Arabidopsis thaliana: one gene and its partner. The protein of the gene in region 1 binds, or shares a complex with, the protein of each later gene. Each region holds a gene or a part of one and is shown in the gene's direction. Other genes may lie near its edges.

Region 1 (4,487 bases):
GATGGTGCACCGTGACCTTTTCCTGAATCATCAGGTCCACTTTTATAACCTCCGTAGATTATATTAACGGGTATTTTTGGTGGTGATGGTGCATTGTGACCTCTTCCTGAATCATCATGACGACTTTTATAACTTCCATAGATTATATTCATCGATACCTTTGGTGGTGATGGTGCACTTTTATAATCTCCGTAGATTATATTCATCGGTACCTTTGGTGGTAAAGGTGCATCGTGACCTTTACCTGAATCATCAGGTCCACTTTTATAACCTCCGTAGATTATATTCATCGGTACCTTTGATGGTAAAGGTGCATCGTGACCTTTACCTGAATCATCAGGTCCACTTTTATAACCTCCGTAGTTTATATTCATCAGTATCTTTGGTGGTAAAGGTGTATCGTGACCTTTACCTGAATCATCAGGTCCACTTTTATAACCTCCGTAATTTATATTCATCGGTATCTTTGGTGGTAAAGGTGCATCGTGACCTTTACCTGAATCATCAGGTCCACTTTTATAACTTCCGTAGATTATATTCACAGGAACCTTCATCGTTTTTATGAGCGGGTTAGTTTCTCCCATGACTGGTGGATTCAAACTTCTTGCATGGGCATAAGGTCCACGACACACAAAACAAGTGATAAGGGATATGAAAACTATTTTGGGAATCAAACAAGACATGGTGGGAGGCATCAACATTATTCGAGGTTTTTTTTAGGACTAGGAAATGGGGATGTGAAAATTGAAATTGGTAGAAAAAAAGAAGAAGAAGAAGTTGTCTTTTTTTTTGTTGATAGAAAATGATTGTTACAACTTACAATATATTAAAAATGTGAGTATTTGTATGTATATATAATAGATTATTGATTCACTCAAAACATATAATGTATTGTTATAATGTTTAATAATGATATGAATTATGTTAAAAAATAAATATTGTCTCAAACACAATATATCTAATCATAATTACTGTCTTAAACTATAGATGATATACAATAGTTACTTATGACAAAGTTTATCATTTTCAATTTTATTAGTACAAAATCAAATATTTTCATAGATATCAGTAAAAATACTATTTTGACAATTAACAATATTAAAATAAAATAAATTTTGTGGATATTGTAGATTCTAAAGTAAAATAACTATAATAAATTTTAAAATAAATGGTAATCACATTTTGTTACATGTTACTAAAATACTTAATTTATATTTAATGAATCAGTTTATCTGTCCATATTTTAAAATTTCACTAAAATTTTCAGAAATGTTTTGGAATTAGATTTCAGATTGTAAATAGTTTTCACTAACTTTTAATTATATAAATATATTAAATATTTACCCATTTCCTCAACAGAATGGAGATTTTACATTTATAAAACAATTCCATACTTCAAGAATTAGCATTTATTTATTTATTTTTTAAATCTGTTTTATACAAAAAATAGATAAAAAAATCATTTTAAGGAGTTGATTTTTTTAATGATTTGTAAATGTTCAAATCTGCATAAAACATTATTTTGATTTTTGAATATGATACCAAATAAATCTTTTAAATTTTAAAATAGAAAAATCACACTTTTCATTATTTTGAAAATATTTAAGTCTAGTTTTAATGGGCCTTATCAGGCCAACATGTTGGGCTCATATACACACTTTAATTCCGACATGTTGTGTACTCCAGATCGGACGGCCAGCTTGGCGCACTGGGTTTATGTCATGTGGGTCCCACGTATGATTCGCACCATCTTCATTATTTTTTCTCTTTCTTTATCTTTAATGTTTTTTTTTTCCTGTGTCTGTAGAATCATTTCGTCCACTTTAATCATTTTCGTTGATACAGCTTCTCCCGGTAATAATGTCGGCGGATTTCTCCGTCGCACTCTAAATTCTTTAGGATTTTGTTTCTCTTGCTCATCTGTAACTCAGGCAAGCTCTCGTTGGATTGTTTTAGGTACGCTTTAAATATTGATTCGAGTCGCTTCTCTCTGTTTTCATTAATTTTGTTTTTTCAAAAAATTTCTGGACTTGATTAGATGAGATTGTTGAATTGTGAATTGAGTTTTGTTCATTGTTGTTTCGGTAGATGAGGTTAGAATAACACTATACATCAGTTCTTTCTTTTGAAGTAGTGAGCTGAATCTAGTTCTTTAGCTGTTGGAAATTTTCAGATTTGTGTCTCTGATGACAGAGAATTTGATACCTTTTTTTTTGTTGTGAAATGGATTTAGGCATGAATGAGTCAGTCCCTGATTCTGTGGAAGACAACGGTAATTCAGTCCCTGCAAATGGATTATTAGTATTGCCTGATAATGATCATGAGGAAGGAGGTGTTGGATCACCTCAACGATCGAACAGCGTTGAATCTCCTGGTGGATCAGTACATTCTACGAGGAAAGGTTTTGGTTTGAAGAAATGGAGACGGATCAAAAGAGATGGTCCTGTGAGAGATGAGGCTGCTCCTGTTGATGATGGTAGTAAGTTACTGAAACGTGGATTGGCTGGTTTGGTGAATCCTCCTTCTAAACATGTAGAATTTTCTTCAGTTGAAGCAAGGCAGAGTAGTGAAGGCTCTGTTGGGTCAGTGAATATGGTGCATCATCCAGGGGTAGCCAACGGGTTTAGTCCCGATATAGGTTGTATGTTTGCTGTTGGGCAAGCGTTTGAGAAAAGTGAAGAGCATAGTGGTAATACCATAGGTGGAAAGAATGTAGTAGGAGGGAAGGTTGTTTCAGGTAGCCAAGAGAAACTCTGGAGTGATACCATCAAGAGGGCTAGCGAAGAGCGGGGGGATATCGAGAAGGAGAAGCCTTGTTCCAGCTTGGATTCCGACTTGAGAAGTAGTGATTTTGTGTTTTCGACTGGCTCGGTTTCTGTTGGTAACCATGGAGAGAAAGATGAGAGATTGACGATGAATTATATTGGGGGATTTAGCAATGAAGGTCAAGTTAAGGAGGAAGTTCAAACATATAGCAGAAGCGAAAACGGGAATAAAGAAGACGATGGAGAGAGTAAGAAAAACAACAATCATTGGGCAGATAAAGACGCACTTGCAGATTCTATCAGAAGCTTTGCAGTTCTGCAGGAAGTTCTTTGGAAAGGTTTGCACACGAACCTTGATTTTTGATATCCATGTGAATTGTTTCAATGTTCATGTCCTAAAGCTCCCATGTTTATATTATCAATGTTACATGATATTTCTAAACTAACTATGCGATTGAAACGTGTGCAGAGGTTCAAAGTTTCCAGGAGCTAGGTAAGGAATCTGTACTACTACATTCGAACACCGATGAATTGAGTTCAGACCAGCCAAGTCATCAAAATTGTAAAGAAGATAACTCAACATCCTCAGGATCAAAGGCACTGATCTTGAAGGAGAAGGTAAAACTTCTGGAACACAAACTCGAGGAAGCGAGAGCTGCTCTCGAGGCAAAGGAAGCTAGGATCCAAGAACTCGAAAACTCAAAGATTGAATCTGAACTTGAATGCATCTTCCAGAGAAAGATTGAAACTGAAATCGAACATTTGATGCTCACAAGATCTCTGAGTTCACTACAAGTACTCCAAGAAACTAAGAAGTTACATTCTCTGAAAGAAGATCCTGTATCAAACCGTGGAAACATCTTAGGAAAAACATGTAAGCTCGGTTTCTATATCTTGACACAATTGATCTTGCTCGTCTCTATACTTCGGTTTCTCGTCCTACAATTCTCTCCTGCTTCACGATTAGTAATACCAACTTGAAAAATTCCTTCTCCTTGTTGTGTTACCGAACATTTTTTTTGTTTCTCCAGATTGTAATAAATAAGGTCTCTCAAGGATATTGTCCCCATTGTTATAGTTAAATTACGATGTTTAAATTTCCCATCAACAACTAAAGAGACATTATTATTTTGTGAACTAGATTTTTGATATCGAATCCGATCACCGGTTATAATGGTTTGCCGACGGTTTTTGTGATTTGACTCAAGAGTGTAATAAAACCTTAACTTAAATCTTGGTTTTTGATTCAATCTAGATTCGGTTAATCAACCGGTCCGGTCTGGTTTTTAAAACAATAGGCCATTGTTGTAGGGAGTAGTTTAATCGGGGCAGAGGCTTATGCTATGGGCTTGGACTCTCAGGTTTCGTCTTAAACCTAATCAAAGTAATTTAAGCCGAAAACGGAAGGAACTAAAATTGGTGTCTTGACTAAAAATAATATAAAGGACATAAAATTAAAGTCCCCAGATAAAAGTTTGTATGATTTAGGGCAAAATCTCAGAAGATAAAATCATTCAAATTTGTGTGAATTTCGTTTAATCCTTATCCAATTTGTCCCAATTTATAATCTTATAAGAAAAATAAAAATCTGAAATACGGTGGTCTCAATTGCTCTTACCTTTACCAAGACGGCCATAAGAAAAAAAAGATGTCGACCGATATTTCACCACCCTACTCTCAAACTCACGTGGAGCCCGTTAATGGTTATCCTTCTGACAACAA
Region 2 (4,545 bases), 980 kb from region 1:
CCCAGCTGATTACTATGACTATCACGTAAAATTTTCTATCTTGACAGAAACTGTAACCGTTGTCTTGTGTTCTCTCTTCCGCCTGAAAAAAGTGTTTCCTTTTTGTCACAGATTTACACTTCTGCTAGCAATTTGTTTTCCATGTATCATCAATTTGATCGCACTTCACGCAAAGGTCCAAAGGTGCGGTAATAGATTATAACAAAACTTAATTCCAACAAACACAAGATGAAGCTTTCAGCGTTTTACTCACTCGTGAACTTTGTTTACAGGCTTTTGTCAGTGAATATGCTGTTACTGGAAAAGATGCTGGTACAGGAAGCCTTCTTGCCTCTCTTGCAGAAGCTGCGTTTCTCATTGGTCTTGAAAAGAATAGGTTCCCTTTGAATTTCTCTTCCCAGGCTTTGATCTCAACTAAAAACATCAAATAAGTTAAACATCTTATGACTTTTTGCAGTGACATTGTTGAAATGGCAAGTTATGCTCCACTCTTTGTGAACACAAATGATAGACGGTATCTCTCACTTACTTTTCCGTTCGAATGGTTACTCAGGAAGATAAGGCAATAATCTCAAATTGTTAAATTGGTTTCAGGTGGAACCCTGATGCAATAGTCTTCAACTCCTCTCATCTATATGGAACACCTAGCTATTGGGTTCAACGGTTTTTTGCAGAGTCAAGCGGAGCAACTCTTCTCACTTCAACACTCAAGGGAAACTCTACTTCTCTTGTTGCATCTGCTATCTCTTGGAAAAACAATGGCAAAGATTACATACGCATAAAGGTAAACCGAGTGAAAGATTCAACCGGAGCTCTGATATTGACCCTAAAAAACTGTTTCAAAATCTGTTATTTGCAGGCTGTAAACTTCGGAGCTAACTCAGAAAATATGCAAGTGTTGGTAACTGGATTGGACCCGAACGTGATGAGAGTTTCGGGATCAAAGAAGACAGTACTTACCTCTACCAATGTGATGGATGAAAATTCCTTCTCACAGCCAGAGAAGGTAAAAATCAAGAGATGGAAGAAACATCATTATCATCACAAATTCTGAGTGTTCCCATGTTCTTATTGGTTTTTATTTGCAGGTTGTACCACATGAAAGCTTGCTAGAGTTGGCAGAGGAGGATATGACCGTTGTTCTCCCGCCACATTCCTTTTCTTCATTCGATTTGTTGAAGGAATCTGCAAAGATAAGAATGCCAATCTCTGATTCTTCTTCCCATCAGAAAACTACCACTGTGTGAAGAGAAACAATGACAAGGAAGTATCAACTTTCATGTCAAAAGTCTCTTTGTGGTTCAAATCTAATTACATTCCATAAATGCTTATAACGTACCCTTGTGTATATATAATAATAGTCTGGTGAATAAATTTACTTTCTTTAATCATGAGCTTATCTCGACTCTAGATATCTTGATATGCAAGAATGATGAAGCAACAGTTTCTTCTTAGCATAAAAGAAGATGACGAGGCGTGAAAGTGGGCTGGGCCATTTTATTTCCATTATTGGGCTTTTAAAAGCCCATCATAATGAATTTTGAAAAAAATGGAGGAGCATCAAAACAAATAAAAATGGCGAAACTGAAGAACACACGATTCAGATTTTCAAAATTGAATTTTGTAGTGATCTCTCTCCTATATAAACTTCCTCACTCTTCTTCCATTTCAAATCTCTCTCTCTGTAGTCAAAATTAGGGTTTATTTATTCATAAGGAAGAGCATTTCGAATTCTGTAGTTCAAAATTGAAGATCATGTCGGCGTCAACGGTGTCAATCACCGCTAGTCCTAGGACAATAAGGCGGACGCCGGTTCTCTCCGGTGAGAAGAAATCTAATTTTGATTTCCCGCCGAGCGAATCTCATGCCAATGCGGCAATTGGAGAGTCGTCTGCTGGTACGAACAAGGATCTGATTCGCGCCGAGGCTGCCGGTGAGAGATCCAACACCTACGACGTAGGTCCGGTGACAAGGAAATCAGGATCCACCGCGACGGGGACTAATACAACCACCACGCAGCGTCGGACGCGGAAGTCTCAGGGGAATAAGATAGATAGAGGGAAATGGAAGACAGTGGTTAGGGTATTCGCGAAGCAATTTGGGGCTCTTTTGTTACTTGTTGGATTGATTCAGTTGATTAGGAAATTGACTTTGAAGGATTCGTCTCTGTCTTCTTCGAATTTCCCAATTGAAACGGAAATGGTGCTTTCGGAATTGGAGAGTCGGATTTCTGCAGTTGATGGTTTGGTGAAGACTACGACGAAGATGATGCAGGTTCAAGTTGAGTTTCTTGATAAGAAGATGGATAGTGAATCAAGAGCATTGAGGCAGACGATAGATTCCACATCTTCTGTGTTACATAGTGAGTTGAAGAAGGTAGAGTCTAAGACAGAGAGGTTACAGGTTTCTGTAGATGAGTTAAATGCTAAACCTTTGGTGTCTAGAGAGGAGTTAGAGAGAGTTTACGAGGAGTTGAAGAAGGGTAAGGTCGGTGATTCTGATGTTAACATTGATAAACTGAGGGCTTATGCTCGTGACATAGTGGAGAAAGAGATAGGGAAACATGTTGCAGATGGCCTTGGTCGAGTAGATTATGCGTTAGCGTCTGGTGGAGCTTTTGTAATGGGGCATTCGGATCCGTTTCTTGTTGGAAATGGGCGTAATTGGTTTGGGACAAGCAGGAGACGGGTTCATAGCAAAGCGGTTAAGATGTTAACTCCGAGTTTCGGGGAGCCTGGACAGTGTTTTCCTCTGAAAGGAAGCAATGGATATGTTCTAGTCAGGCTAAGAGCACCAATAATTCCAGAAGCTGTTACTTTGGAACATGTCTCTAAGGTAGTACTAACATCTCAATACTAAACTTTCACAAAATGATTGATTTTTATATGTTAATTTGAGCCTTCAAGAAGGGTTCTCTGTTAAATGTTGTTGGTATTGAGATGCCCTGTACTTCGGATTGGATTGCTGGTGACAATAGGTTATCGAATAGAGGGCAAGAAACTAGTTTTGTGAATTTGAGTTCTTATAGTTTGAGGTTTAGTTTAGGCACTAGCTGTGACAATATGCATTGAGGAGGATTTTACCTATTGTTATTTTCTGCAAATCACTAGCTTTAGCAGTTCCTTTGTCTAATATCAATGCCACTGTGTTGTTGTGCTTTGTTTGGGACATCGTTGACAGAGAAAAGAACCGTATGTATGGGAAGAGCTTGTAAGTTTACAATTAGTGGAACTGTAATATTCACTGTTTACGGATATCCTTAGGAAACAGTAGCTGAAGGGAAATAGTCTCAAGAGTGTGTAATGTGATGGTCACACATTGCTTTCCATCATTGTTCATCCTTGTGATCATTTGTCTGATAAATTTCTTCTTGTCTGACCACTAAAAGGCAATACTAATCTTACGGTTATGTTATGCACCATTTAATCGAACAGGCTGTAGCATATGACAGATCGAGCGCCCCAAAGGATTGCCGTGTATCAGGATGGCTAGGTGACATAGATATGGAGACTGAGACAATGCCCCTTCTTACAGAATTCAGTTACGACTTAGACAGGTCCAATGCACAGACATTCGACATTGCAGACTCTGCTCACTCAGGACTTGTCAACACTGTCAGGCTAGACTTCAATTCCAACCATGGAAGCTCTTCACACACTTGCATCTACCGCTTCAGGGTTCATGGCCGTGAACTAGACTCAGTCTCTGTTGCTCATGCTTGATCTGAAAGTCCACGTCAAACTTTTCTTCTCTTTGTAACATTCCCTCTAATAGATATCTCTCTTCTTTTTTTGTGTTAGTTTATGTGGTGGGAAAGCTTCTCTTAGTCTGTAATCAGAATCATTTGGTTGTATTCGTGATTATTAGCTTCAAATCTGTTTTGGTTCGGTTTATTTGGTCAGGGTATGTATCCTCCGAATTGAATAATATAGATCTTAGTTTGATGTCCGGTTTTGGTTTTGTAACAGAGTTTCAATTTAAGCTTTCACCTAAAACAAATCATACAAATTCTAATAGAGTATACATATTTCATTAGTTGAAACAAATATTGAATTTGGATTATTAATGGTTACCTTGGGTACTTGGTATTACAACGATATGTGATGAATAGGAAGAGTGTGTATATAGATGGACCATAACTTGTTAGTGTGAATTGCGTAATCGACAAAGTGACGACTTCTTCTTCTAGGCTGCACCGTCTTGCCTTGTCTAAAAGCTTCCCAACACATCACATGCAAAATCTACGGTCAAATAATAGATATGAAACCCTCTTCCAAGTCAACACAGCTTGTTTGATTATAAATTAAATTAAATACAAATTCATCTTTGACATGTCTGATTAATGTTAATTTTTTACAGTGTCAACTGGCATAACAAATTGAGCTAAACAAAATTAAGCTCTAAAAATAGCCATTTTTTACGGTTAAATCACATGAAGAAACCTTTCCTAACCAAGTCAACCCATGTTTGGTCGTCGTGACGGTGGACCACCGGCTCCAAAAAAACTCTTCATTTGACCAAAACGAGTATAACCCTTAATTATTA

Evidence for each region. Proteins that work in one complex are often made in the same cells at the same time.
Region 2: WIP3 (region 1) and SUN2 share a complex: the UniProt entries of both Arabidopsis thaliana proteins name them as parts of the LINC complex.

The regions. Positions count from the first base shown.
Region 1 is NC_003074.8:4,337,731-4,342,217, reverse strand, and holds WIP3 (WPP domain interacting protein 3), read left to right. Parts: upstream 1-1,771; 5' UTR 1,772-1,781; coding exon 1,782-1,956; intron 1,957-2,233; coding exon 2,234-3,103; intron 3,104-3,234; coding exon 3,235-3,746; 3' UTR 3,747-3,932; downstream 3,933-4,487. Other genes in the region: AT3G13370 (formin-like protein), read right to left, coding at 1-554; AT3G13350 (HMG (high mobility group) box protein with ARID/BRIGHT DNA-binding domain-containing protein), read left to right, coding at 4,414-4,487. UniProt on the Arabidopsis thaliana protein: Mediates and enhances the nuclear envelope docking of RANGAP proteins mediated by WIT1 and WIT2 in the undifferentiated cells of root tips.
Region 2 is NC_003074.8:3,357,733-3,362,277, reverse strand, and holds SUN2 (SAD1/UNC-84 domain protein 2), read left to right. Parts: upstream 1-1,575; 5' UTR 1,576-1,755; coding exon 1,756-2,835; intron 2,836-3,434; coding exon 3,435-3,722; 3' UTR 3,723-3,990; downstream 3,991-4,545. Other genes in the region: ASD1 (alpha-L-arabinofuranosidase 1), read left to right, coding at 1-25, 112-183, 273-376, 458-514, 595-784, 860-1,006, 1,089-1,247. UniProt on the Arabidopsis thaliana protein: Component of SUN-protein-containing multivariate complexes also called LINC complexes which link the nucleoskeleton and cytoskeleton by providing versatile outer nuclear membrane attachment sites for cytoskeletal filaments.